Linked DNA regions of Sus scrofa. The protein of the gene in region 1 purifies or fractionates together with the protein of each later gene. This does not show direct contact. Links are inferred from orthologs where the notes say so. Each region holds a gene or a part of one and is shown on either strand. Other genes may lie near its edges. The genes, in order: TBC1D15 and UBXN8.

Region 1 (15,610 bases):
TTATTAAATCACAAATTGAAATGACTGGTTAAAATTGCAAACTACTGTGCTAGGTCAAGAATAAAAGAACTCAGGAGTTCCCACTGTAGCTCAGCGGTTAATGAACCCAAGTAGGATCCACGAGGATGCGGGTTCGATCCCTGGCCTCCCTCAGTGGGCCAGGGATCCAGCATTGCCGTGAGCTGCAGTGGAGGTTGCAGATGCGGCTCGGATCCCACATTGCTATTGCTGTGGTGTAGGCTGGCAGCTGCAGCTCTGATTAGACCCCTAGCCTGGAAACTTCCATATGCCACGGGTGCAGCCCTAAAAGGAGTAAAGAACTCAGAGTTCCCATTGCAGCTCAGGGGGTTAAGAACCCAACTAGTATCCATGAGGATTCTAGTTCAATCCCTGGCCTCACTCAAGTAAGTTAAAGGATCCAGCATTGCCACATTCAACCACAACCCCTAGCCTGGGAATCTCCATATGTCACAGGTGCGGCTGTTGAAAGAAAGAAAGAAAAGAAAGAGAGAAAGAAAGAGAAAAGAGAGAAAGAGAGAGAGAGAAGAAAGGAAGGAAGGAAGGAAGGAAGGAAGGAAGGAAGGAAGGAAGGAAGGAAGGAAGGAAGGAAGGAAAGAAAGAAAGAAAGAAAGAAAGAAAGAAAGAAAGAAAGAAAGAAAGAAAGAAAGAACGAACTCAGAAGAACTCAGTACAAAGCAAGTACTCAAATGTTTGTTAGAGTGCCAGAAAAATACAGAAGACAATACACTGTATCTTACACGGGGGGAGGCATGGGGAAGATTACTACCATGTTATAAGATCTAGTTTAAGTAAACTCTCCAGGAATTTCCAGGTGGCTCAGCAGGTTAAGAACCCATCCTTGTTATTGCTGTGGCTCGAGACTGATCCCTGACCTAGGAACTTCCACAGCCATGGGCATGGCAGAGGGACAGAGGGAGAAAACTCTCCAGGAGAAACTATTACACACTAAGAATATTAATCTTCCTCAAGCACAGGGTTTCATGAAACCATAAGCATATCTAAAGGAAACTGGAAAGGGCCAAATTCAAGCTACAAAATAAATTCTTACTAAGAATGCCTTCGAAAAAACTCAAAGGAGTTCCCTTACAGCTCAGTGCGTAAAGGATCCAACGTTATCATTGTAGCAGCTCATGTCACTGCTGTGACACAGATTCAAGCCCTGGCCCAGGATCTTTCACATGCCATGGGCATGGCCATCCAAAAAAACACAAAACAAAACCTCAAAGAAAAAATAACAAGGGATTCCCCAGTTATTTCAAGTTATTTTCAATAGAACCAAATTCTAACACAATCACAATAAAAACACGTAACTACAATAAAATACAAGTATACTAAAATAGGACTTTTTAACTCCAAAACATCACAATTAGAGAACTCATCTTCCTCACTCTAGACCTCCCCCCATTTTTTTTCTTTCTTTCTTTTTTTTTTTTTTTTTTTTTTCCTGTTTTTTTAGGGCTGTAGCCACAGCATATGGAGGTTTCCAGGCTAGGGATTGAATCTGGGCTGCAGGTACCTGCCTACAATACAGCTACAGCAACACCAGATCCAAGCCACATCCTCGACCTATGCCACACCTTGTGGCAATGCCGGATCGTTGACCCACTGAGTGAGGCCAGAGATCAAACTCGTATTCTCACGGACACTAATCAGGTTCTTAACCTGATGAGCCATTACAGGAACTCCTTTTATACTTTCTTGCTCTTTCCTCTTTGTTGAAGACCTACTATGTGCCAGACTCTATGCCAGATACAGAAGAAACATTTCAGGCCCTGTTCTCATGAGGATTAGCCCATCTACAAGTCTATATTCACTAACAGCACCATTTTCCTGGAGGCAGGAGTGGAAGGCCTGGGAGTTGGTCATAACGGCAGGTGAAGAAATCAATGAAGACTATCCAGTACTTATCAACATCTGAGAATTCCACTGGGGTTGTGGATAAGATGCTGAAGACCATAATGTCTGTTTCTAGAAATGAGTTGTTGAAGAAGTGGGGCCCTCTTGAATAAGGGAAAGTGTAATTAGTTTCTGCTTATACATTATTAAATTCAATGTTTTGGGTTTATGTGGCAATTCAGGGAGTTAATCATAAGGAACATCCAGTAAACAGGAATTGGAAGGATGAGAGTATACATGAACAGAGTCGAGAAAATAACAGAAAAGAAAAAGGCTGGCAAACTGCACAGAAGTGTGGCTTCAAGATTTGTAAAAAAATGCCCTCTGGGAGCCAAAACCTAAAAATGCATACAAAGTTGCCAACACAGGATAAAGTAAAAATTAACCTCTTGGTTTTGATGTACACATTCAAAAAGTACATCATTTTCATTGTTTTCCACAAAACAGATGATGATTAAGTGGCAATGTAAGGTTTAAAGATACTGAATTCATATATAAAATTTGCATTTTAAATTTGTAATCCTGTGGCTCAACAGGATCTGCAGCAACTCTGCAGTGCCAGGACACAGGTTAGATCCCTGGCCAAGCACAGTGGGTTAAGGGTCCAGGTGTTGCCATGGCGGCAGTGTGCGTCCCAACTACAGCTCAGATCTGATCCCTGGCCAGGGAACTCCATAGACTGCAGGGTGGCATGAATGAATGAATGAATGAATGAATGAATACACTAAATACCTCTCCCCAAAAAAGATTATCTTTATCGACTACCCTAAAGAACAATATGAAGTTTTTAACATAGTGGTATACACATACATATATAAACACACACACACACACATATATATATACATACACATATATATATACACATATATATACACATATATACACACACACACACACACATATATATATATATATACATTTTTTTTTTTTTTTTTTTTTTTTTTTGCTTTTTAGGGCCATACCCACATCATATAGAGGTTCTAATCCAAGCTACAGCTGCCAGCCTACACCACAGCCACAGCAATGCCAGATCCGAGCTACATCTGCGACCTACACCATAGCTCACGGCAATGCCAGACCCTTAGCCCACTGGAGCAAGGGCAGGGATTGAACTTGCAACCTCATGGTTCCTAGTCTGATTCTTTTCCAATGAGCCATGACTGGAACTCCCAACATAGTGGTATATTTTATATGTACAGTTTACCATCTCTCTTGGCAAGACTCTTATTTCCTTATATAGGTCTATCTTTCAAGTGCCATTTTATGAGAAACTACAACATCTAAGTTAAATGTTCTTTGTAAATATCTGTCTATTTTTGATGAATAACGATTTTATGGACTATGCTGAAGTTATAAATACATTTGTTTTTCACTACATAATAAAGAGTGAGGCGACTTTAATGTTCATTTTTCTGTGTAGTTATTTTGTTATGCTTTTATTTAGGGAATTATTTTTTTATATATTTAAAGTATAAAATTAATATATTTGAAATATAAAATTAAGACTTTAAGGTTATTCTTGAATTCTTGGCACTTTGCCACTAAATTCCATTTAAAGTTAAATATAATTTTAGGAGTTCCCATCGTGGCTCAGTGGTTAATGAATTTGACTAGGAACCATGAGGTTGCCTGTTTGATCCCTGGCCTTGCTCAGCGGGTTAAGGATCCCCAGTGTTGCCGTGACCTATGGTGTAGGTTGCAGACACGGCTCGCATCCCGCGTTGCTGTGGCTGTGGCGTAGGCCGGCGGCTACAGCTCCGATTCGACCCCTAGCCTGGGAATCTCCATATGCCTGGGGAGCAGCCCAAGACATGGCAAAAAGACAAAAATAAATAAATAAATAAATATAATTTTAGATGGGAAATGACATATATCGATGGCTGGATTCTGGCATAATGGCTATACCCTATCAATAAAGCTATGAATGTTGTGTAGCTGACATGTTTATCTTTCTCTTGAGTAAATTTGCCCTTGAAATTGGGAAGGTAGGTTTTAGAAATCCTTAGGAATAGAGAAATTCATAAGTTTTTGTTCCTTATGCATAGTACCATAGTTCTCTTAGCCTCATTTATTTAGATTTTTTTCATTATATCTTCCTGAGGCTATCAAGTACATACAAGTGTTTTGGAATTAACTGTCTATGTTATATAATGCTGCTTAGGCAGAGGAGAAATCCAAAGGAGATTTTACATTGTATTTATATTCCAATTTATTTTTCTGGAATATCTGTTAGACAAGTCTAAATATTAAAAATTATGTTTATGTCTAAGCCCATGAATTTTAATTATATACCTTTAATGCTTTCAGTCTCTGAATCCACATCATTATGTGTAGAAATGCCAAGTACAATAAAATACTTAAATTCCAGAAAAAGAAATAAATAAAAATAGCACCAGAAATTAAAAATTAAAAATAAATAAAGTAAAAAAAATAAGTAAATAAAAATCGCACCACTGCAAGGACTTGAAACTTTCTTATTTCAACAAGGTAAAGGAGTAGGTTTTAGTGAGTGTGTTCCTTCTGAAGAACTAAAGTCTGTAATTTCCAAGGTAAGGGGCTATATGATGCATCCCCAATGCCTAAAACAGTACCTGGAAGAAAGCAGGTGCTTAATAAATATTTGTTGAATAAATGAATAAAAGTACGCTGCAACCATCAGAGATACTGGGTGTAAGGGTGAAACCTATTTCAGACTATCCCTTTTCTTCTGCCTTCTCTGTGATTAATCATTCCATTAATTATCCTAAAGCAGGATAGCCTTTACAGGCAGTGTCGCTATATCTCACCTCAATATTCACAAGAGGATCTATGACAAGAAGACTGATGTTAACTGAATCTATTGTGGTAATCATTTCACAATATATATAAATCAAACCATCACGCTGTACACCTTAAACTTACACAGTGATGTATGTCAATCATTTCTCAATAAAACTGGGGGAAAAAAGATTACAGCCAAGAAAAAAAAAATCACGTAAGAATGTCACTCATTCCCCTCATTTGGTTGACTATTAAAACATATGGTTCTAGGAAGTTCTCCTGTGGGTTAAGGATCTGGCATTGGCACTGCTTCTGCACTGCACAGAGATTAACGTCCTCCCTGCATCACTTCCTACACTAAAAGTTCGAAGCAAGCAAAGTAGACTTAGTAGAAGAGTTACTCTACATCTTAGATCTCAACAGCAAGAGGTTCTAATTCAACAGAGCAGAACTGTATATGGCTATATATATTTTAAAGTACCACATATGATTCTTGGGAGCCTTGGTGAACGTTCACCGCCCTAGGTTGCTAAGTTACACTAGGTCTTAGCTGAACCTTTGGAATGGAATAGGGGAGATAAATAAATACAAAGAAACACATACACATTCCCTCTCATAAATACGTGTGTGTTCTTTGCTATTCCCTTTTCCCAAAAAAAAAACCAGACTGGGAAATAGGGAAGCATAAGATAAAGCCAGAAAGGCAACATGGCTTTTCATGCTGTGTTAACTATTGCCTTAAGTATTATTTTAATAGTGACATAACAAAACCAAGCTTTGTTTTTTTAAGCAAGAGACAATCAGACTTGTGAATAGAAAATAATTCCAGTGGTTGTGTAGAGAGGGGACTGTGGACAAAGAGACTATAGACAAGGAGAAAAATCAGCCAAGGACTCAAGACTAAATGTCTGCCTGCATGATCTAAGCACTGAGAATGAAGAGGATGCAGCAAATTTAAGAAACCTCTTTAAGGGAAAACGGGCAGGACTTGGTATTGATTAGATATTGTTATAGAAATGTACGTCTTCAAGTTTGTTTTACATGAAACCAGGTGAATGATGATGCCATTAAACTAGATCTGAACTTGCTGAGGGAAGAATAAGTTGGTTTCGCTGGTTATCATAGAACTACTTGGAAGAGGAGCAGCTTTGGGTAATAGAAAAATAGTTTAGGTGGAGTGATGGGAATGGGTGTAAATTTGCAATGAGAATAGATGAGGTGATGAAGTAGAGTTAAGAAATAAAAGACTAAGAAGTCAGATCATGAAAGGCAGTGGATGGAAGCAAAGGGTGAAAAAAGTCTTATATTTCACAATTCTACTTCATCATCTCAAGAGACCTATCAAAATCAATTCACACCATGCAGCAGGTTAAGGATCCTGCACTGTCACTGAAGCAGCAACTCGGGTATGATCCCTGGCCCAGGAACTTCCACATGCTGTGGGTGGGACCAAAAAAAAAAAAAAAAAAAAAAATCAATCCACACCTGAAAAAGAGAAGTGTAGTTCAAACAGAAAGGATCCCTCCTTGGAAAGTCCTAGATTGGCTCAGTCCAGACAGAAAATCAAACAGTATAACCTCGAAATATGCAGTGAGCCAAGAAGATCAGCATCCATCCTGAAGAGTAAAACTGACAAGACAACCAAAGATCTCAAAACGATGACCAGCCCATCATTTAAAACACTCAGTATGTAGAAATATGTAATCTTCATGTTAATGCTTTTATTATTTCATATAATCCTAACAACTCCAATACAAGAAATAATGACTGGCATGACATCCATTCTGGAGACAAAGAATATGAAGGACAGAGAAGTCATGCTTGCTCAATTTCCCAAGGTCACACTTAAGAGTAACTGTGATGTGTTATTCTGCCGCCTAGTCTAGCAGTCCAGACACTAAACTACACATGCTGTCAAATAATTCAAAATGGGATGAGGAGAGGGCAAAAATAAAGAAAATGAGTGCAACTCAAGGAACAGAGGAAGCTATTAGTGTTAGATGAGTCATTACCCGATTCAACTGTTTACAAATTACTCCCGCAATGGGAAATGCTGTCAGTGGCATGCCCTGATAGTGCTAACTAGCAGGAATTAAGATGTGCCCTCGGAACATGACAGGCACTGTGCGATAAAATATCCTCCGCACCTAATCCTAATTCCAAACAAACTACCTGGAGGTCAAAGACCACCTCCATAAAACCGCACCACAAATCCTCCCACGGAAGCATCACAGAGATATCTAGGAAAGAAATATCTTAACTAATGCCTTCCAAAGACAAGCGTGGGATGGTGTAAATCTACAGCTCCCTGAACGTGGAAATGTGTGCTGCTGCTCACAACGACCAACCAACTCCGCAATCCGGTAAAATGGATCCAATACAGTCTCCTAAGTGCACAGCTGCAAAGCACCTATTTTCAGCTCTTCCTGAAGGGGACAAAGATGCCTTCACCAGAGTAAGGCAGAGGAAGACAGAGGCAAGTCTGAGTAAAGCCTCAAAGGAAGAGAGAAAAAACGCTGGAGTAGACACATAAGGAACCAATCAGGAAAAAACCGAGACAGTCGAAAAAAACGAAAAAGTAAGAGGACAACCACCCGTCCCTTAGGAAAAGTACTACAAATAAAAGCCCCCTCATCCTTGGGCAGAACAGACATGAACAGCGCCAAGGCCTAGCTGGCCTTGGAGCAGGAGCTGGGTCTCTAATTCCCGGGCTGAGCGAGTACTCTGGAGAAAACATCTGACACCACCTAGCCCTCTTCTACATCCTCCACAGTCTGATCTGATACAGAGAAGCCCTCGCGACCCTCCCCGCCAGCCTCCAAGCAGCAATACGGCCCCATCCGGGAGAAAAACACGACTGTTCCCCGGGGCCGTTACTTACCTTCCCGCTCACAACACCCGCCGCCGCCATGTTTCCTGCGCGTGTCTGTGATGACGTAGCAGCGCCTCACGTGTCTCTCAGACTCACAACAACATCCGGCAAAACTAGGCTGATATCCGGGCGGGAAAGGGGCGGGGAGTGGCGGGAACTGCGGTGAGTGAAGGGGCGGGGTGGGAGGAGAGACCCGAGGCGAGCGTACAGAGTAGGGCTCGGAGGCTTCGGGTGGAGTCTCTGGTGTATACTGCGCATGTGCCAATTTATTTTCCGAGCGGGGAACGTAAGTTGAAGTATTTTTGCTTTGGGGTTTGCTTGGGGGCAAGGCTCTGAGCCGTTGGTATGAAGAAAGTACAGACTATTCGGATTCAGGAAATTTGGTCTTTGTGGACACTTTTCACTTCTGTCTTTTTTTTTTTTTTTTTTTGCCTTTTCTAGGGCTGCTCCCGTGGCATATGGAGGTTCCCAGGCTAGGGGTCGAATTGGACCGGCCTACGCCAGAACCACAGCAATGCGGGATCCGAGCCGCGTCTGCAACCTACACCACAGCTCACAGCAGTGCAGGATCCTTAACCCACTGAGCAAGGCCAGGAATTGAACCGGAAACCTCATGGTTCCTAGTCGGATTCGTTAATCGCTGAGCCACGACGGGAACTCCTGGCTTTTCACTTCTACCTTCAGTCTCTGGCAGCTCATCTGTAAACTTGAGATAGGGCTGTGGTGGAGATTAAAGGGACCCCAGCCAGGTCTCCGACGCACACACGCAGGAATTTTTCGCCTCTGTGTGAAGTTTCTGAAGTTGAGTCTGATAACTGCCACTCACGCACAACCATGGGCAAGGTATTTTGATAGGAACTGCGATAATACCATGCCCTCGTTGTCCCAGAGTCCAACACATATAGCTCATGGCTCCTACACGATTGCTTAATAGCTGTGTGACTTGCAACAAGTTTATAAATTCATCCAAGCTTCAGGAATTAGAGCGAGAATTACCCATGGAGTGGTTGTAAAGATTTCTTGGGACGATGTATATGTGGTAAATTGATTTGTTGAGATAGTAAGATAATTTATTTTTGTTCTCAGGGCAGTAAAAGAATGTCAGGAAATTATTGGATACTACCCATGATGGCTCTGACAGAAGCTCTGGGGCTTCCTTTGCCTCAGGGAGTAATAAAAGGTCCCTTTGTAGCAAAACACCGTGTCCTTTGAGGTACTTCTCTTTTCACAGGGCGGCATGAGTATAGAGGCTTTTGAGGTTCGTTAAGTGGCAACCTAAGGAAATAGCAGAAGAGGAGGTTTGCTGGTTCTGTGAATCTTGGGAACCTGATGGGAGAAGGAGGTGGCAAGATCTTTGATGGAAATGGATGTGTAGTCCTATTAGGGAGGCTGCATCAGAGATTCTAACGACAGCCAAGCCCCCATGCCCAAGCTTGGTATTCAACTGGTAAAGCAGCTCACCTGCAAAGGATAAATGAGCTGGGGAAATTAGTATATTAGCAGTAACTAACATTGAGTGAAGACTTGAGGGCCTTCCCTGCATACACAGGACTAGGTAAGATCCCCTAGAACCTTCACGCAATTCTAGGCGTGGTGTGTAGAGCCCTAATAATGACCCAGATTAAATTTCCCACCAGCTCAGAGTAATAGGGTGTGGTTAGAGAAAAAATTGCCACAAGCTGCGGCATAGGTCGCAGATGTAGCTGGGATCCTGCGCTGCTGTGTCTGTGTCTGTGGTGTCTGTGGTATAGGCCTGCAGCTGCAGCTCCCATTTGACCCCTAGTCTGGGAACTTCCATACGCCACAGGTGTGGCTCTGAAAAGAAAAAAAAAAAAAAAAAAAAAGTCATAAGGTGGAAAAGAATCATAAGAAGTCCTTTAAAGAAACTTTGGATCTAGGTGGGGCTTCGGTGACAGAAAAATTCTTTTAGGGATATGCTACAGTCATAAGCTGCTTTATGGCTGAATAGAGACCTCATTAGAGATATGTGCCTTAGTCAGCTGTGCTACCTGTACAGTCATCTGAAAGTGATCACTTCTCTCGTTAAACTACAGCATTTAATTACCTGTTCAGTTTGATTCTCTCTCACTTCAGTTTCTGACTGACCTCTCAGTGTTTCAGGGCTTATCCCATGTCACACATCATTTATTAAGATTCTCCCAATTTTGCCACCACTCATTGATACTTACCTTGCCTAAACTCTTATAAAAGTCAGACTAAAAACTTTTAATGCGTAACTGTGCAAGGCAGTGCCATGAAGAAAACATAGCTGACAACCAAGAGATTGCAGGAGTTCTCATGGGATAAATTAACCAGCTGAAGAAATAAGACCTGTAAGTACTGATAGTTGGGACACCATTGAAAAAGACCCAACCATATCATTCTACCGCAAACAATAAAAAGCAGCAACCCCCTCATATATCTAAAACTTCCAATCAGCTTTTAGTTCCAGTCTCTTAAATATGAACATAATCATGGATCACTTCACATTTGAAGAAAACCTTTAACCTGAAAGGCAGAGACCAAAATGAACAAACCAGCAAATAAGCAATTTAAGACAAACAATGCAGAGAACAAAAAAAAAAGTTTTAATTACCTTTAAAGAGATGAGAGAAGACTTTACATCTATGAAACAGGAATAAAAGGCCATGTAAGAGAGCTATTTAGGGAACCAAAATGAGCTCCTATAAATTAAAAATATAACATAAATGAAAAAAATCCAGAAATGGATTGAAAGATAAACTAAGGAAATGTTCCAGAAAGTAAAACAAAAGGACAAAGCTATGGAAATAAGAGAGAAAAGTTAAGACAATTAGTAGATTACAACAGGATATCTAAATCCAAATAAAGGAGAGAAAGCAGAGAATATGGGGAGAGGAAATTACTAAATAAATAATTCACAATTTTTCCCAGAAATGTCAGATGTGCATTTTCAAACCAAATCAGCCTACCAAGTGCCAAGCATAATGGAAGAGAAAGACCAACAGCAAGGGACATAATTGTGACATTTCAGAACAATAGGAATCAAAAGATTGTAAAAACTTGCACAGAGCAAAAGGAAAAAAAAAATATGTTACATGAAAGGGTAAAGAATAAATATATCTTTGAACTTGCCAGTGAAAGCACTGGATGCTCTAGGGCAATGGAGTATAAACATTGAAAATATTTTTAACCTAGAATGTTATACTCAATCAAATAATCGAGTGTAAGATCAAAACAATACATTTTCAGATACTCAAGTTCAAAAAAATTGTATCTCTTACACACCCTTTCTTAGGAAGCAAGTGGAGGCTGTGTGGCAGGATAAGAAAGCTGTTAATTACAGGAGAGCAACATATGGAATCTAAAAAAACAGGAAACAAACACGGGGGTACAATACAAAAGAGAATCTTGAGGGCATTTCTGTTAGGAATATAAAATGATGCAGCCACTGTGGAAAACAGTATGGCAGTTCCTCAAAAAAGCACGCAGAATTGCCATAAAATCCAGCAATTTCACTTCTGGATTTTAGAGACAGGTATTTGTATACCAGTGTATTGTCTACAAGCATTATTCACAATAGCCAAAATTTGAAACAACCCCCAAAGCCATCAGCAGGTAAATGGATAAATAGAATATCGTATGTACATGCAATGGAATACCATTCAGTCTTAGAAATTAAATTAAATACTACAACATGGATAAGCCCTAAAAAAGCATTATGCTAAGTGAAATGAGCCAGCCACGAAATGGCAAACAGTGTATGACTCTACTTACATGAGGTACCAAGAATAGTCAAAGCATAAGAAGGTAGACTAGTGGTCTAGGGGTTGGAGGCTGGTGAGGGAAAATAGGAGTCATTGTTTAATTGGTGTGGAGTTTCAGTTTGGGATGGTGAGATGAATGGTAGTGATGGCTACACAAAATGTAAATGCACTTAAGGCCACTAAATTGTACATTTTAAAATGGCCGAAATGACCAATATTATGTTACGTATTTTTACCACAGTTTTTTAAATAATTAGAAAAACAAGAGAGAAAATTCAGGATCTAGGATTAAGAAGAGTTCTTAGACTTGACATCAAAATCACAATCCATAAAGAAAAAATCAATAAACTGGACTTCATCAAAATTTTTAAAATTTGCTCTCTTTGTAAAGGATTTGGGATGGAAATGCTATAAATTTTGGTTGTGATGATTGTTGTACAACTATAAATGTAATAAAATTCATTAAGAGAAAAAGAAAAAACAAATCAAATGCTCTGAAAGCAAAATGAATGCAGATAGAGGTCTGAAGAAACTGTCAGCATCTAAGCATTATATTTTGTTTTCTTCTCCCCTTTAAATTAAACTAACACCAAGCTCAGATGTGAATCACAGTCCCTTCTGGAATGAATGATTATGGCTGTGGCCTGACTTAAGCAGATGACCCTGCATAAGCAGGGGAGAGGGGCTCTCCTCCATGAGGTAGGGGGTGCTGAGGACACAGCCTCTCCAGGGCAGACCACCAGATGTTGAATTTTCCAGGTGAGAATGTCTGGAGTCAGAGGACTGTAAACAGACACATGCAGAGTCTATTCTTCCTTTTGATGAGCCCATTATTGTATTTTTCTAAGCTGTGTTATCGTTCTGTATTAAAATTCTTAAATGGTTAAAAAAAAAAAAAAACACCTTGTAAAGGCTGAAAAAAACAAGCTGCAAATCAGGGTAAAATATTTGCAAACGTGTATCCTAAAGGACAAATACCTAGAGTATATGGAGAACTCCCAAAACTCAACATTAAAGAAAAAATAATCCAATTAGAAAATGGGCAAAAGAGATTGCATTTCCTTCCTTTTTTTCCTTCCTTCCTTTTTTTCTTTTTATGGCCACACCTGCAGCATATGAAAGTTCCCAGGCCAGAGATCAAATGGGAGTTGCAGCTGCTGGCTTACGCCACAGCCATGGCAACACTGGGATCTAAGCCACACCTTCGACCTATGCTGCAGTTTGCGGCAACACCAGATTTTTAACCCACTGAGCAAGGTCAGGGATGGAACCCACATCCTTATGGACACTATATTGGTTCTTAACCTGCTATGCCACAACTGGAACTCCTATTTTTCTATTGCTGTTGTAGCAAATTACCACAAACTTAGTTGCTGAAAAAACGTACTTTTTCTTACAGTTAGACATCACAGGTCTCATTGGCCTAAGATGAAGGAGTCAGCAGGGCTGACCACAGCCCTTTCTGGAGGCTCTTAGAGGAAAATCTGTTTTCTTGCCTTTCCAGCTTCTAGATGTCATGGGCATTTCTTGGCTCCTGGACTTCTCTCTCCATCTTCAGAACTAGCAACATTCTACCTCTGTGTAATCTCTGCATCTCTGATCTTTCTTCCTTAGTCACATCTCCCTCTGAAAGGTTCTCCTCTTAAGGACTCATGAAATTAGATGAAGCCCATCTGGATAATTCTTGACAGTCTCCCCATCTCAAGGTCTATACCTTTAATCATATCAGCAAACAATCGTTGCTGTGTAAAGTAACATGTTCTTGAAGTTCTGGGGATTTGGCACAATATCTTTGGAAGGCCATGTTCTTCCTATCACGGATATAAACAGACATTTCACTAAAGAGGATATAAAGGTGGCAAAAAATAAGCATCTAAAAATGTTCAACTTCATTAATCATTAGGGAAATGCAGACTAAAGCTACAATGAAATATCACTACATACTTAATAGAATGACTAAAATTAAAAATAACTGTAACACCAAATCCTTGTAAGAATGTGGAGAAGCTAGATCACTAACACATTGCTGGTGGGAATATAAAATGGTACAGCCACTCTGGAAAATAGTTTGGCAGTTTCTTATAACACTAAACATACGCTTACCACATGACCAAGTATATGTACACTTGGGCATTTATCCTAAGGAAATATAAACTATGTACATACCCAAACCTGTACATTAATGTTTATTTTTAATAGTAAAAGCTGGAAACACCCCATGTCCTTTAAGAGATAAATGATTTTTTTTTTTTTTTTTGTCTTTTTGTCTTTTCGGAGCTACACTCACAGCATATGGAGGTTCCCAGGCTAGGAGTTTAATCAGAGCTGTAGCCGCAGGCCTACGCCAGAGCCACAGCAAGGCCAGATCCGAGCCACGTCTGCGACCTACACCACAGCTCACGGCAACATGGGATCCTTAACCCACTGAGCGAGGACAGGGATTGAACCCGAAACTTCACAGTTCCTAGTTGGATTTGTTTCTGCCGCGCCATGACGGGAACTCCAACAGATAAATGATTAAACAAACTATGGCATATCCATACCATGAGATACAGCACAGCAATAAAAAGGAATGAGCTCATGATACAGGCAGCAGCTTGAATGGATCAAGAAAATTATGCTGAGTGGGGAAAATATCACAAATGGTTACATGGTACATGATTCCAATTTTATAGTATTTTTGAAATAGCAAAATTATGGACATGGAGAACAGACTCGTATTTCCAGGGGTCAGGGATTGGGGAGGAAGGAAAAAGGAGGAGGAGTGGCTTTTATAAAGGGATAGCACAAGGAAACTTCTTGGTGATGGAACAGCTCTGTATCTTGATCATAGTGATAGTTATATGAATCAACACACGTGGTAAAATGGTAATACTATACTCACTATTCACACACGTACAACGGATGAAATGTAAGTGCATGTAAAACCGCTGAAATCTGAGTAAATTCTATGGGTTGTACCAAAGTCAATTTCCTGGTTTTAATATTGTACTATATTTATATAAAATGTTATCACTGGGGAGTTCCCACTGTGGTGCAGCGAAAACAAATCTGACTAGTAACCATGAAGTTGCAGTTTCAATCCCTGGCCTCGTTCAGTGGGTATGGATCCAGCATTGCCAAGAGCTGTGGTGTAGGTTGCAGACACAGCTCGGATCCTGTGTTGCTGTGGCTGTGGTGTAGGCTGGCAGCTGTCACTCTGATTCTCCCTCTAGCCTGGGAACCTCCATATGCCACAGGTGAGGCCCTAAAAAGCCAAAAAAAAAAAGTTATCATTGGAAAAAAACTGGGTGAAAGTGTATGGAAACTCCCTGTACATTTTTTTTTGAAATTTTCCAAAGTTTATATGTATATTAGATATTTTTAATTGTTATATATTTTCATGTGTATATCAGGAATCCTTTGGCTGCAAGTAGCAAACAATCCAAATAAAAATATATTAAATTAGCTGCTTCTGTTTTGTCTCACATAGCAAAAATTAAAAAGATAGGGCAGTTTCAAGAGTTCCTGTTGTGGCACAGCAGAAACAAATCCGATTAGGAACCATGAGGTTGCGGGTTCGATCCCTAGCCTCACTCAGTGGGTTAATGATCTGGAGTTGCTGTGAGCTGTGGTGTAGTTCACAGATGCAGCTTGGATCCAGCGTTGCTGTGGCTGTGGTGTAGGCCGGCAGCTGTAGCTCCAATTCGACCCCTAGCATGGGAACTTACACATGCCACAGGTGTGGCCCTAAAAAGCAAAAAAAAAGAAAACCAAAAAACCCCAAAATACAGGGCAGTTTCAGGGTTGATTAACTAACCTCAACATAGTCATCAAAGATCCATTCTCTTGCCATATTTCTGCTCCTTCATTTTCAGAATGCTGGCTTTTATTCAAAACTGTCCACTCAGTTTCAAAATGGCTGCAGCAGCCCCATTAATCATATCCTTCTTTGAAAGCATGCAATGGCCCAGAAGAAAGTTTCTTTCATGGGATCCTTTTTTAAGGCTAATGAAAAGATCTCAGGAGTTATTCTTTCAAATCTTATTGGCTAGAATTGCATCTCATCCTCATTCCTAAATTAGTATAGGACAGGCAATGTGGTAGGGTCCCAAAGTATATGGCTCTCCATACCAGAATACACTTAGCAAAGAAAAAGAGGGAAATGGCTATTGGGTAGATAGTCTGTACATCTGCAATACTATATGTACAGTTGAGATGGAAGATTTTGTTCAACCCTCAGTGTAATCGAAAAGCAATAGCTCTCTTGAAGTTCCCGTTGTGGCTCAGTAAAGAACCGGACATAATGTCCATGAAGAGGCAGGTTTGATCC
Region 2 (15,353 bases), on another chromosome or scaffold:
AAAAAAAAAAAAAAAAAACCCAAAACATTTGTGTTTCTATATTCTAGTAATGAAAAAATCAAAAAAGAAAATTAAGAAAATAATCCATTTATAATAGCATCTAAAAGAATAAAATACTTGGGAATAAATTTAGCCAAGAAAGTGAAAGTTATATACACTGAAAACTACAAAACACTGCTGAAAGAAATTAAAGACATAAATAAATGGAAAGACACTGCGTGTTTACAGACTGGAAGAATTACTAAATAAGATATCAATACTACTCAAAGCTGGAGTTCCCGTCGTGGCGCAGTGGCGAATCCGACTAGGAACCATGAGGTTGCGGGTTCGATCCCTGCCCTTGCTCAGTGGGTTAACGATCCGGCGTTGCCGTGAGCTGTGGTGTAGGTTGCAGACGCGGCTCGGATCCAGCGTTGCTGTGGCTCTGGCGTAGGCCGGTGGCTACAGCTCCGATTCAACCCCTAGCCTGGGAACCTCCATATGCCGCGGGAGCGGCCCAAGAAATAGCAACAATAACAACAACAACAACAAAAAAGGACAAAAAGACAAAAAAAAAAAAAAATACTACTCAAAGCAATCTACAGATTTCAGTGCAATCCTTCACAAAATCCCTAAGCCCTTTTTTGCAGAAATGAAAGGCCAATCCGTAAACTCAAACAGAATTGGAAAGGGTCCCCATAGACAAAACTACTGAAAAAGAAGAACAAAGTAGGAGGACGCATACTTCCTGATTTCAAAACTTACTAAAGGAGTTCCCATCAGGGCGGAAGCAGAAATGAATCCAACTACAAACCATGTGGTTTCCGGTTTGATCCTGGCCTCGCTCAGGAGGTTAAGGATCCGGCGTTGCCGTGAGCTGTTGTGTAGATTGCAGAGGAGGCTTGGATCTGGAGTTGCTGTGGCTCTGGCATAGGCCGGCAGCAACAGCTCCAATTTGACCCCTAGCCTGGGAACCTCCATGTGCCGCGGGTGTGGCCCCAGAAAAAGATTTAAAAAAAAAAAAAAAAGCTAAAACTATACAACAATTGGAATATAGAGGTAAATTTTCATGAATTTAGATTTGGCAATGGATTCTGAGATTATGACACCAAAAGCATGAGTAACAAAAGATATGAAAACTAGACTTCCATCAAAATTAAAAATTTCTGTGCATCAAAGGCCATTATAAAAAGACTACAAAGCAATCCAAAGACTAGGAGAAAATACTTGCAAATCAGGTATCTGATAAGAATTCAATACCCAGAATACATAAAAAAACTCCTATAGTTCAACAAAAAGAAGACAACCCAATTTAAAAATGGGCAAAGACCTTAGATATTTTTCCAGAGAAGATATACAAATGTCCAACATGCACATGAAAATTTGTTCAACATTATTAGTCATTAGGGAAATGCAAGTCAAAACCACGTAATACCATTTCATATGCTTTACGACGCGTATGCGGGGGGTGAGGAGCGTGGAAATAAATGCTGTTGAGGAAGTAGAAACTCAGACCCTCAGAAACTACTGGTGGGAATATAAAATGGTATAGCTTATGTGCAAAATAGTTTGGCAATTCCTCAGAAAATTAATACATAGAATTAACATGTTACCTTGCAATTCCATTCTATGTATACACCCAAAAGAACTGAAAACAGTACTCAAGTATCTGCACACAAATATTCAGAGCAGCACTATTAATAGCCAAAAGGTGGAAATAACCTAAATGTCCATCAATAAAGGATAAACAAATTATGACCCATGGATACAGTGAAATATCATTCATCCATGAAAAGGAATGAAGTAGTGATACATGCTACATGAATGAACCCTGGAAAACATCATGCAAGTGAAAGAAGCCAGACACAATATGTCACATGTTGTATGATTCCATTTATATGAATTATCCAGAATAGATCCATCCAAACAGAAAGCAGAGGATGAGATGGAAGAAATGGGGAAAGGAGAAGTAATTGTTTAATGGGTACAGGGTTTTCTTCTGGGGTGAAGAAAATGTTTTGGAACTAGACAGAGGTAATGATTGTACAAGATTGTGAATATTCTGAATCATACAATTTAAGATGGTTAATTTTATGTCATGTGAATTTGACCTCGTTGATATAAAAAAGCTGGGAGTTCCCGTTGTGGCTCAGTCGTTAATGAATCTGACTAGCATCCATGAGGAGGCAGGTTCGATCCCTGGCCTTGCTCAGTGGGTGAAAGGATCCGGTGTTGCCGTGAGCTGTGGTGTAAGTCGCAGATGTAGTTTGGATCTCAAGTTGCTGTGGCTGTGGGATAGGCCAGCAGCTATAGCTCCAACTGGACCCCAAGCCTGGGAACTTTCATATGCCACAGGTGTAGTTCTACAATGCAAAAATTTAAAAATTAAAATAATAACAATAAAAATCTGAACACAAACACATAAACCAACAGACCTAAATTTGAAATGTCTGTATTCTCTATTCCCCCAAAAGTAGCTTTACCTTTTCACCTTGTGCCTCTTGTTGTTTTTTCCTCACAAGTTTTTGCTTTTTCTCATTCTTCTCTTCTTCTTCTTCTAAGACACCAAAACATAAAAGTGCTTTTTTTTTTAATTCCTCAGTATTGGTAAAGTTGAATGCTATCTTCTCTGAAAGTACTCTGTAGATCTTAACATTTTGGGGGAAACAAGCCTTAAAAAAAATATGCTGCATTTTTCAAATAATGAAAATGAAATACACACAGACAGTTGAAACAAAGAAATCCACAAGCAAGATCTGTAAAGAAAAGGTCTGTTCTGAGATGAAAATTCTCTGACATGTAGTAATATTGTGTTACAGCTTTGGTGAGGAGGCTTCAAGAATAATGATGTGGATTTTTTTCCTGCAGCCACCTACAGCATTTCAGCAGCTCCAAGATAAAGCATGGAAGCCCATTCTCACACGAGGTGCGGTATGCTATGCTGCAGCCACTGGTCACCCCTGGAAATGACAGTAAAAGCAACATGCCTAGATCCCAAAGACAGGGTGTGGCTGGCAACTCCTATAGTAACTGAACCAATATTAGTTTATAATCTACTGAATGTCAAGAGAAGGGATTTCTGCTATTGTATAGACCTTTTTGGAGGGCGGGGGTAGAATAAATTTCATTTAAGTTAATTTCATTTAATTGTATTCTCCCAAAGAATTATGAATCTTTTAAATATATCCCTAAAGAGTTCTTGTCTTGGTGCAGCAGAAATGAATCTGACTAGGAACCATGAGGTTGGGGGTTGGATCCCTGGCCTCGCTCAGTAGGTTAAGGATCGGGCATGGCTGTGAGCTGTGGTATAGGTCGAAGACGCAGCTCAGAACTGGCGTTGCTGTGGCTCTGGAGTAGGCCAGCAACAACAGCTCTAAATAGACCCCTAGCCTAGCACCCTCCATATGCTGCGGGTGCGGCCCTAAAAAGACAAAAGACCAAAAAAAAAAAAAAAATCAGTCAATCAATTCAATCCTTGAATAGGAGCATTCCTTTCTGTCAACAGCTTTACTTGTTTCTTGGCAGCAGATATTTCCTCAAGATTATTAAGGAAGGAGTTCCCGTCGTGGCGCAGTGGTTAACGAATCCGACTAGGAACCATGAGGTTGCGGTTCGTCCCTGCCTTGCTCAGTGGGTGATAATCCGGGTGCCGTGAGCTGTGGTGTAGGTGCAGACGCGGCTCGATCCATGTTGCTGTGGCTCTGCGTAGGCTGCAGCTACAGCTCCGATTGACCCTAGCCTGGAACCTCCATATGCGCAGGAGCGCCAAAGAAATAGCAAAAAAAAAAAAAAAAAAAGAGACAAGATTATTAAGGAAAAGTTAGGGCAGTAAAGCACAAAGAAAATCAGAAGGTCCAGTCTGGCCTCTAACTTGCTAGGTGATCAAACTTAGTGATCTGAATCAAAGAATATATACATATTTTTTTCTTTCAGTTTTAATGATATAATTGACAGTCATCACTGTGTAAGTTGAAGGTGTACAGCATAACGATGTGATTTACATACATCATGAAATGTTTACCACAGTAGGTTTAGTGAAGATCCAAGATCTCATATAGACACAACATTAAAGAAATAAAAACAATTTTTTTCCTTGTGATGAAAATTCTTAGGATTTATTCTCTTAACAACTTTCATATATAATGTACAGCAGTGTCACTAATATTTATCATATTGTACCTTATATCCCTACTATGGACTGATTACTAAATTAATTAGCACTAGGGATTAAGTACTAAATTAGTACTACTAATTTAGTTTGTTTTTGGGGGGGTTGCACCCATGGCATGTGGAAGTTTCCAGGCCAGAGATCAAACCCACACCACAGCAACTACTCAAAGCCGCTGCAATGACAACACCGGATCCTTAACCCACTGCACCATAAGGGAACTTCCTAAGTTTGCATCTTTTGACTACTTTCATCCAATTCCCCCCTCCCCTCATCACTTGCCTTTGGTAATCAAAAATCTTATCTTTTTCTATGAGTTTGTTTCTTCCTCCCCCCCCCCTTTTCAGCCACATTCAAGGCATAAGGAACCTCCCAGGCCAGGGATCACATCCGCGCCACAGCTGTGACCCACGCCACAGCTGTGGCAACACGGGATCTTTAACCCACTGTGTTGGGCCAGGGGTCAAACTGGCAACGCCGCAGAGACGGTGGAAAATCTGACAATAATTAGGCATTATGTACAGTCTTAATTACTTATTAGACAGTTTTTGTCTTCAGTGATGATTACATCTCAAAATTATCAAACCATAAATGTTTCCGAAATGACTTGCACTTCAATATAAAGGTACAACTTAAAGTATGAAAACTATGGCAAGTGCATATTTCCCTTATTTGTAAAACACAGAATGGAGTTCTTGTTGTGGTTAGCAAATCAAGGACCCGACATTATCTTTGTAAGGATGCAGGTTCGATCCCTGGCCTGGCTCAATTGGTTAAGGATCTGGCATTGCCATAAACAGCAGCACAGGTTGCAAACATGGCTCAGTTCCTCTGTTGCCATGGCTGTGGCCACAGTTGCAGCTCCAATTCAACCCCTGGCCTGGGATCTTCCATATGCAGGCATAAAAAGAAAAACAAAACAAAATAAAACACAGAATATTTGCCCATAGTCTAATCTATGCAGCAAATATCTTCCCCATACCAAAATACACTTAATACAAAGTTTTTAAGAGAAGTTACAACGAGTCATTTAAATCTTCCAACTGAGTACTTTGAAGTATAAAAGATCAAATAATATACTAAAAGAAGAAAAAAATTTCCAAAAATCTATGATTGGGAGACCCTGAAACATCCACACTGTCATTTATGTTTGGGTTGAATAGTGTAACCTTTTAGGATTATGTTTTCATTCACAGTTAGTTTGAAAGGGCTATAAATTAAACACTGCTGATTTTCCTTTCATTTATTTACATTTAAATAAACAGTAAAACAAAACATAATGCACCAAATTCACTACTGACAAACTTTTTTTTTTTTTTTGTCTTTTGTCTTTTGTCTTTTTAGGGCCACACCTGCAGCATATGGAGGTTCCCAGGCTAGGGGTCGAATCAGAGCTACAGCTCTGACCTATGCCACAGCCACAGCAAGGGGGGATCCAAGCCACATCTGCAACCTACACCACAGCTCATGGCAATGCTGGATCCTTAACCCACTGAGCGAGGCCAGGAGTCAAACCTGCGTTCTCACATATGCTAGTCAGGTTTGTGAATCGCTGAGCCACGACAGGAACTCCCTTCTTTCTAATAGGATATAAGAATGTAGTCATTACTTTTAAGATTTATCTGTCCTGAGGTGAATTACAATATTGTTCTAAAAGGTCTGTAACACAAACTTTTACTTACAAAAAACAAAATGAAAATAAGAACAAGCATGATTTCCTAAAATTAAGAATGCTTAACTATATATTAAGTGTGAAAATAAAAACTACCAGAATGTAATAAAAAATAAATTATCTTTAACTCTTTTTTTTTTCCTGGTGTGCCAGCAGCATATGGAAGATCCTGGACCAGGGATCAAACCTGCACCACAGCAGTGGCCTGATCCTTAACCCACTACACTACAAAAGTACTCCAAATTTTCTTTAACTCTTAACAGTAGATACATTTACCATCTGTCGAATAGTTTATAAGCTCTAAGTACCAAATAGCAGTTAGTGCTCCATTAACACAGAGGCAATTTAAAATTAGAGAATTTGGAGTTCCTGCTGTGGTGCAATGGGGTCAGCAGTGTCTCTGCAGCACCAAGTCTCGGGTTTGATCCCTGGCCGGCATAGTGGGTTCAAGGATCTGGCATTGCCTCATCTGCAGTATAGATTGCAACTGTGGCCTAGACCTGATCCCTGGCCCAGGAACTCCATGTGCCTCGGGGTGGCCAAAAAAAGAAAACAAAAACAAAAACAAACAAGAGAATTTGCAGAATATCAGTTAGAAATGATAGTTTCAAATGTATATATAATAAAAATGTACAATTTCTCATAATATTGCAATTTATAGCCCATTTGAAATCGTAACTAAAGTAATGACTACTATCCTTGAAATTACACAGCAAAAAGTAATGGTAAAATAGTTCTCATTTTGCCAAGTTCTAGAATAAATAAAGGAAAGAAATTTCAGTAGAAAACTCTAAAAGAGTAGCATAAACTATAAACTTACCTTTCAGATAAACTTGGGTAGATTTAAACGAGTTAATCCATGAGGTAGCCACCGAAATAATTAATGTAAGAAGAGCAAGCAGTAAGAAAATCCGGCCACATAGCAAAATAAGATCTTTGATTCCTTAACAAGGTTAAAAAAATTACAATTAAAATTTAAAACAATTTTTCTTGGAACTAATAATAAGTACTAATATATTAGCAGATTATTTGTACCAGAACAATATAATAATAAAAGTTAAGGTATGCAACTGTCTTATAATATTTCATATAATTTTCCTGTGGTGCCAAAATTCATCACGACTGTCATTACCAGAACAAGTTTTCAAAAAATGATTCTAGAACATCTTTCAGGAATATAAGTGAATGGCTACATTATAAATATATGACTATCAATAATGCAGAAATCTTGGTTTTCCTTCTGCCCCAAGAAGGAAAGAAAATTATCCACATTAATTGGGAACTAAATCATGATGGTATGTATCATCTTATCAAATTCTATTTAAAATCAGTCACTCCCACTGAACACAAATTCTTATTTCTCACAGTTAAGTTATGCAACTGTGTACTTCTCTAGTTCTCAATGTTTATTCTGTCATTTGTAAATAAAATTACTATATACATATCTGCCCAAAAAAGGGAAAATTCAGTACTTGGTTTTGTATGATTTTGAGAGCCAAGATGAAAATTAATCAGCAAAAAATGTAACAAGTACCTACTGTGTGTAATACAATTTGTTAATGATGAGGGATCCTGGATAAGAAGTTGGAATAAAAATGGTTTCTATCCTCTAGGAATTTTTAGTTTTATTTTATAATTCTCAAAAGACACCAGGTAGAGGTATGCCAACAGTTGCTGTACCTTCGATTTGACCCCTAGCCCAAGAACTTACTAAAGCCACAGGTGTAGCCCCAGAAAGGAAAAAAAGAAAAAAAAAAGGGGAGAGAGAAGAGAGACACCCTATAGTCAAATCTGCCAAGAACAACAGAAACCTAATTTGCCTCACTGCTTCCGCTATACCTTCCTTGCAAAACACTTGTCCACAAAGAATCCAGACTTTTTAAAACCTTAGGGAAGTCCCTTAACCTCCCTATATCTGTTTCCACTGTAAAATAGGTTAGAGCAGTGCGCATCCTCAAAGTTTGTAAACCAATTTAGAGGAGATAATAACCACGACTTAAGAGTCTAGTTTACAATAAGCGTTCAATGAATGCTATTATCATGCGCCACTCTCTCTACTAGTCTCTTTAATCCAGCCTCAAAGGTCTTCATCCTTTTCCTTCAAGTCACAATTCCTTTTGTCTGGAATGTCATCCCGCTCCCTCCACCTCCCGCCCTCGCTTTTCAAACGTGTGGCTCCTTATCATTTAAGTCTCTTAAATTCTTCAGAAGGCCTACATCAGCTTGTTTATTTCCTTTTGAGCACTCAACACAATGTGAAAGTCAAGTATATGCTTGCTCCTGTGCTTTCGGCCTCTGTCCCATTACCCGCAAAACTTCACCAGATCTGGAGGGGCACTTTTCCGCCAAGAGTTTGCCTCCCCAGGACGGCAAAAGTCTCGCTCCACCAGGAACCCCGCGGGGGAAGAGGAAGGCAGGCGCGGTGCAGCCTGGGCATCGTAGTCAAAGCCGCCCAGAGGAGACGCGGCCGGGAAATTGCACGTAGTGTTCGTGAGACTGTTACCAGGTGTGAACGCCAGGAGGCAAAAGCCAGCACTTACCTAGATCTGGGACCCCACGCCGGAGCTCCAGACACAAGAGGGGGAGAGCAGAGAGGAGGAAAATGCCAACCACCCCAAGAGAAACCATAGCGGCGGAAGCGCTGCTTCCTGGCGGAAGCTCCGCCCCTTCTGATTACGCCTCCCTTGGAAGGTGGAGTGGATCCTTTCTAAGGGAGGAATTCCAGGAAAGCGCTGGACCCTAAAGCTGTTTCGTTGGTGAGACTGAGATAAACCCAGGCTTTTGAACTCATAATCTGTAACCTGAAAACAAGTGTAGGTCACCTCCCGACGTCACGTGAGGTCCAGGGGAGACGGCCTCGCTGGCACCCGCCCAGCCAAGTCCTGTGAAAGCAAAACTTGGGCTCCTTCGAGGCGGGCAGCCCCTGCCCCTTCGGCTGTCAGACTGTAGAGATTGTAAGAAAGAACTCTAAAGAGTAAAATGAAACAGAGGAGAAAGGATAGGGGCAGCTGATACTACAAGGAGGCAGCCTGTGCCCTTGGCCTATGTCTGTAGTGGGTGATTGTGGACTTTTGAGTCAGAGCTGTTGAGCACCACTTTCTGCCGAAGAACCTTCCTTATCTTCCAAACGGTCCCCGGCACCTTCCTCGGTCTCTGGTTCCGACGGGAAGATGACTCAAAAGTGAGGCCTGGCACCTAATTATGGAGACCCGCTACCCCTTGCTCCGCTCCTTATCAGTTTTGCTAGCAGGTGTTACTGTTAATGACTTAACACGGCCTCCCAGTTCTGTGACCTCATTGCCATCCTATGACTCATCTCTTTGGCGTTTCTGCCAACCCCGATGCGTGTAAGCTACAGAGATCTCTTAAAAGATTTCGTGAGGGAGATTTCGCAGTGGTTAACGAATCCGACTAGGAACCATGAAGTTGCGGGTTCGGTCCCTGCCCTTGCTCAGTGGGTTAACGATCCCGCGTTGCCTTGAGCTGTGGTGTAGGTTGCAGACGCGGCTCGGATCCGCTCCGATTAGACCCCTAGCCTGGGAACCTCCATATGCTGCAGAAGCGGCCCAAAGAAATAGCAAAAAGACAAAAAAAAAAAGATTTCGTGGGAGTTGCCATCATAATCCGACTAGTATCTGGTTCTGATCCCTGGCCTCACTCAGTGGGTCAGGAATCCAGCCTTCCCTTGAGCTTTGGTGTAGGTCGCAGACCTGGCTGGGATCCTGCGTTGCTGTGGCTGTGGTGTAGGCCAGCAGCTGTAGCTCCAATTGGACCCCTAGCGTGGGAACTTCCATATGCCTGGGACGCAGCCCTAAAATAAAATAAAAGTTTTCGTGCTTTGAAAGTTGGTTTTGTGACCCTTCCATCAGTTCTGCCTCACCCTTCAGTTTAGTTCAGCTAACATTTATTTAGCTCCACAATTTGCCTGGCACTGTAGAACTCATAGAGACTCAAGTATGTGTAAGTTTTGTCCTTGAGAAACTCAGTTCGTGGGAAAGACAGCCCTGTAAAGAGAAAAATACAGCGCTTGTGTGCTGTGAGAGGTACACAGGGAGCTATGTACCCAAGTGAGGGCTTGGGGAAAGGCTTTCCCAAAGGAAATCGTGTCTAAATTATTTTGTAAAGGTTAGGAATTGGGGAAAAGGGCAAGAGATTTGAAGTTTGACAAACTATGAATGTAGAGGAACTACCAACAGTTAAAATATTGCAATTTCAACTTTGAATGGAAGAGTGTAGAAGTAGGTTGGAGCCAGGACCAAGGGAGCTTGGCTTGGTATATAGGCTAAGAACGTTATCCTAGAATTCAAGGTGCAGACTATGAGTGCACAATCTCAAAATCGATCTGGGTAAAGTACTATAAATTATGTGACATACCAATTAAACAATTAATTACATTGACTCATTAAAACGTTTTCATTTGCTGTCCACATGAAGACAGGAAAGAGTTCTACAGCGGTTACCATCTTCATTTTGGTATGATTTCCTCCTTTAGGTATTTTTCTTCCTCTTTTTATATTCCTAATTGAATCTGTTGATGGCACCAATAAATCTCTATCAGGACAGTAAAGTAGAGGCTCCCACATACTCTAGATTTGCTTAGGGCCATAAACATTTCCCAAAACTTTATTGATTATGAAGTCTCTTCACTGTAATTGTCTACTTTTAACCTCCACCCGACACCCAAGACCATTAGAATAACCTATTAAAGCAAAATCAAATTTCCACTTACTGCATTAAAGGAGAACACTTTTGTGACAAAATCTTTGTAGTGTCTCAGAGGGGAAGTCAAGAGTGATTTTTATAGGCTTTTTGGAGTCTCCACTGGAATAGTTTTAGGTGGCCTTTTCGATGTGGGGATGTCATTGGTTGGGATTAGACATAGTGTGTGGTATAATAGTTTAGGGATGGTGGATGCAGCAAGAGGTGGGACTTGAAGGCAGGTGTGGTCCCTTTTTGATAAGGTGATTTGCCCAGTTGTGTGATCAATCCAACTTCTCAGTGCCTGGAGAGGATGAGCAACCTGTTGTTCAGATAAATGGATTTTCAGGAAGTTTCTAAAGCTAACAATGAAGAAACATACTGATTTATAGCCTATCCTCGTTGGTAAGAATACCCTAAAACAAATAATAAAGTCATGTTGATTGAGGTAAGATCAAGCAGTTTTGTTTGTTTTTGTTTTTTTGGCTGCACCTGTGGCATGTGGAAGTTCCCAGGCCAGGGACTTCCACATGCCATAGCAGCAACCCCCAGCTGCTGCAGATCCTCAACCTGCTATGCCAAAAGGGAACTCCATCATGTCATAGTTTTTAATGATAATTAAGCTATGGCTATACATCTCAGTTCTCACAATAAAGTCTTTTGGAATACCCTTAGGTATTAAATAAGAAGGGATTTTTAAATCTTGATAGTTTATATTAAGCCATACTCTATTATAAATATTGGTTTTTTTTCTTTCTTTCTTTTTTTTTGGTTGTGCCCATGGCATGTGGAATTTCCTGGCCTCGGGATTGAACCTGCCTCCACAGCCCCGAGCCCAGCCGCTGCGATGACAGAATTGGATCCTTAACCCACTGTGCCACAAGAGAACTCCTTTATTAACATTCTTAAGACATAAATTTCACATTTTTCTTATTTAACAAGTAGAGCTACTTGTTTTCTTTCTTTCTTTCCTCCTTTCTTTTTTTTTTTGTCTTTTTAGGGCCACAGCAGAGGCATATGGAGGTTCCCAGGTCAAGGTCAAATGAGAGCTGCAGCTGCTGGCCTACACCACAGCTCACGGCAATGCCAGATCCTTAACTCGCTGATCGAGGCCAGGGATTGAACCCACAACCTCATTGTTCCTAGTCGGATTCATTTCCTCTGGGCCACAACGGGAACTCCTGTTTTCTTTATGTATAGGAAAAGTAGGACTGTCAACACATTTTAAAATTATATATACTTATATTTGGTTAGGAGGTGACAAATGTTTATTAAAATGTAGCCTGAAATTGATTAAGTGTATCCAAAGTGCTTTTGTAACCTACCATTTGGAATTTTTGCATTAAAAAAAAAATCAACTAGTGGAGTTCCCTGGTGGCCTACTGGGTTAAGTGTCTAGCATCATTGCTGTGGCTTGGTTCACTCCTGTGGTTCAGGTTCAATTCCTGGCCCAGGAACTTCCACATACCACAGGAGAAGCCAAAAAAAAAAATTTTTTTTAGTTAAGTTTTTTGATATCAAATTATGAAAATTTTAAGGTAAAAACATGAAAAAACTTCACAATAATTATCCATATACTCAGCACCACATTTTTTTTCTTTTTTCTCTGCTCCTGCAGCATATGGAAGTTCCTGGGTCAGGGCTCAACTTCAAGCCACAGCTTTGATTTATACTGCAGCTGCCGCAAGGCCAGATTCTTGCTCCACTGTGCCAGACCAGGGATAGAACCAGCACCTCCTCAGAGACAAGTCAGATCCTCAACCCACTGTTACGCAGCAGGAACTCTACTCTTTTCTTATTTTGATGCATGTAACTTTTTTTTTTCTTTTTATGGCCACAGTTGCAGCATATGGAAGTTCCAGGCTAGGGGTCAATTCAGAGCTGCAACTGAGACCTATGCCACAGCCACAGCAACAACAGATCCACACCAAATCTATGACTTACTCTGCAGTTTGTGGCAACGCCAGATCCTTAATCCACTGAGTAAGGCCAGGGCTTGAACCCACATTCTTAAGGAGACTACGTCACATCCTTAATCCACTGAGTCACAATGGGAGCTCCTTGATGAATTTCAAAGTTAGAGACTTTAGTATACTTCCCCCAAAATACTTCAATGTGCATATCATTAATGATATCATATGCATATGCATACTTTATATGATATATATACTTCAGCATGCATATCATTAACTACAATGAAATACACATATCTTTTTTTTTTTTTTTTTGGCTGTGCATGCAGCATGTGGAAATTCCTGGGCTAGGGATTGAACCCATGCCACAGCAGTAACAACATCAGATCCTTAACCCCTGAGCCACCAGGGCTCCCTGAAATGCACACATCTTAACTCTACCATCCCTTAAGTTCCAATACAAGCACTTTTTTTTTTTTGTCTTTTTAGGACCGCACCCAAGGCCTATGGAAGTTCCCAGGCTAGAAGTTGAATTGGAGCTGTAGATGCCAGCCTACACCACAGCCACAGCAATTTGGGATCTGAGCCACACCTGTGACCATACACAGCTCAGGGCAATGCTGGTCCTTAACCCACTGAGCAAGGCCAGGGATTGAACCCGATTCCCCATGGCTAATAGTTGGGTTCGTTACTGCTGAGCCACTACGAGAACTCCTAATACTAGCACTTTTAAAATATCAACTGAGGAATGCTAAAAAATTTGGAGTTTATTTGAGCAAAAAGTGATTCAAATCAGGCAGCATCCAATGTAGTGGATAAAAAGGAGCTCTGAGGAATTCCTGTCATGGCTCAGCAATTAACAAACCCAAATAGCATCTATGAGGACGAGGTTTGATCCCTGGCCTCGCTCAGTTGGTTGAGGATCCCGCATTGCTGTGAGCTGTGGTGTGGGTCGTAGACACAGCTTGGATCCTGTGTTGCTGTGGCTCTGGTGTAGGCCAGCGGCTGCAGCTTCAATTGAGCCCCTAGCCTGGGCACCTCCAAGTGCCTCAGGTATGGCCCTAAAAAAAAAAGACAAAGGAAAAAAAGGAGCTCTGAGGATCTGTACATAAAGAAAGACTTTTCTACCCAGAAGGGAACAGAAACAAGGAAGTTATTCTAGGCAAAAAAGTGGGTTGGTAATTACAAGGTTACTTTCCTGTAGTGATGGCAGGGATCCAACAAGCAGATTAGCTAACTAGTGCTGGTCAGGTGACTCAATTTCTGGGAGAGCCAAATTCTCCATTTGGTGATGTGGCTTACCATAAGCAACTCCATTTTGAACCTCTTGTCTCCTTACAGCATTTACCAATGCAACCCTAACAAGATACAAAATTTTGCCCAGAAAGTAACCACTGTTCTGATTTTTTCCCCCATAATAGATTATTTTGCCTCCTCTAGGACTTCTATAAATAGAATTATGCCAAATGTACTGTTTGGGAGTTCCCTGGATCTGGTGCTGTCACCGCTGTAGCTCAGTTTACTGCTGTGGTATGGGTTTGATCCCTGGCCCAGGAACTTCTGCATACCTTAGGCAGTGCCAAAAAAAAAAAAAAAAAAAAAAAAATACTCTTGGATTAGGCTTTGTATACACATCATAATTGTTTTTTTTTTTCACAGCCATACCTGAGGCACATGGAAATTCGAGGCTGGGGGTTAAACCAGGGCTGTAGCTGAGGCCCACATCACAGCCATGGCAACATCAGATCCAAGTCACATCTGCGAACTACACTGAAGCTTGAGGTGATGCCATACCCATAACCTACTGAGTGAGGCCAGGTATCAAGCCTGCATCCTCACGGACACCATGTTGTGCTTTTAACCTGCTGATCCACAGTGGGAAGTCCACATTGTAATTTTTTAAACTTTTTATTTTGAGGTAATTATAGGTTCATATAGAGTTACGGGAAATAATACAGAGAGATCATGTGCATCCTCAGTTTCCCCCAGTGGCAAATTCATGCATAACTATAGTATGTTATCATAAATAAGAAATTTATATTGAAACAGACTGGATTTTACCAGTTTTACATATACTCACAGTGTGTGTGTGTGTATTTAGTTGTACTCAATATTATCACCTGTGTTGATTCATGTGACCACCCCAATCAAGGTACAGAATCATTCCATCACAAGAATCGCCCATGCTACCCTTTTACATCCATAGTCACCTCATTTTCTATCCTTCACCACCACCAAACCCTAGGTAACCACTAATCTGTTCTCCATCTAAGTTTGTCATTTCAAGAATGTTACGTAAGAGGAATCATACAGCATTCATTACCTACAGTGAAATGCATGCATTGTAACTGTACCATTCCTTGAGTTCCAATATAAGCACTGTTAAAAGATAATCTGAGATTTACTAAACATTTTGTGTGTGTGTGTGTGTCTTTTTAGGGCCACATCCTCTGCATATGGAAGTTCCCAGGCTAAGGTTGAATCAGAGCTGCAACTGCCAGCCTACACCACAGCAACTCAGGATCTGAGCCACGTCTGTGACCTACACCACGGATCACAGCAATGCCGGATCCTTAACCCACTGAACAGGGCAAGGGATCAAACCCGAATCCTCATGGCTACTAGTCTGGTTCATTACCACTGAGCCATAAGGGGAACTCCTGGGGTGTATTAAAATTATTAAGACTGGCTTTTGAGACTTTTTTTTACTCCATACAATCCCCTTGAGATCCAAACGAGTTATGTGTATCGTTATGTATTCTTTTTATTGCTAGATAGGATCCCTCGGTATGAATGCACCATAGTTTGATTAACCACTCTCTTTGAAGGACATCTAGGTTGCTTCCAGATTTCGCTATTATGAATAAAGATGCTGTAAACATTTGTTTATAAGTTCTTGTAGGACCTTAAGTTTTCATTTCTT

The links.
Region 2: the proteins of TBC1D15 (region 1) and UBXN8 purify together in Homo sapiens (affinity purification with mass spectrometry; 3 studies listed by BioGRID and IntAct, counting the BioPlex papers as one, with this or other methods). This does not show direct contact. The link is inferred for Sus scrofa from reciprocal best matches to the Homo sapiens genes TBC1D15 and UBXN8.

Annotation. Positions count from the first base shown.
Region 1 is NC_010447.5:35,819,467-35,835,076, reverse strand, and holds the start of TBC1D15 (TBC1 domain family member 15), read right to left. Parts: upstream 7,693-15,610; 5' UTR 7,592-7,692; coding exon 7,562-7,591; intron 2,303-7,561; exon of another isoform or gene 1,802-2,302; intron 1-1,801. UniProt on the Homo sapiens protein: Acts as a GTPase activating protein for RAB7A. Does not act on RAB4, RAB5 or RAB6.
Region 2 is NC_010457.5:54,359,150-54,374,502, forward strand, and holds the start of UBXN8 (UBX domain-containing protein 8), read right to left. Parts: upstream 8,453-15,353; 5' UTR 8,448-8,452; coding exon of another isoform or gene 8,360-8,447; intron 6,763-8,359; coding exon of another isoform or gene 6,640-6,762; intron 2,940-6,639; 5' UTR 2,673-2,939; coding exon 2,463-2,672; intron 1-2,462. UniProt on the Homo sapiens protein: Involved in endoplasmic reticulum-associated degradation (ERAD) for misfolded lumenal proteins, possibly by tethering VCP to the endoplasmic reticulum membrane. May play a role in reproduction.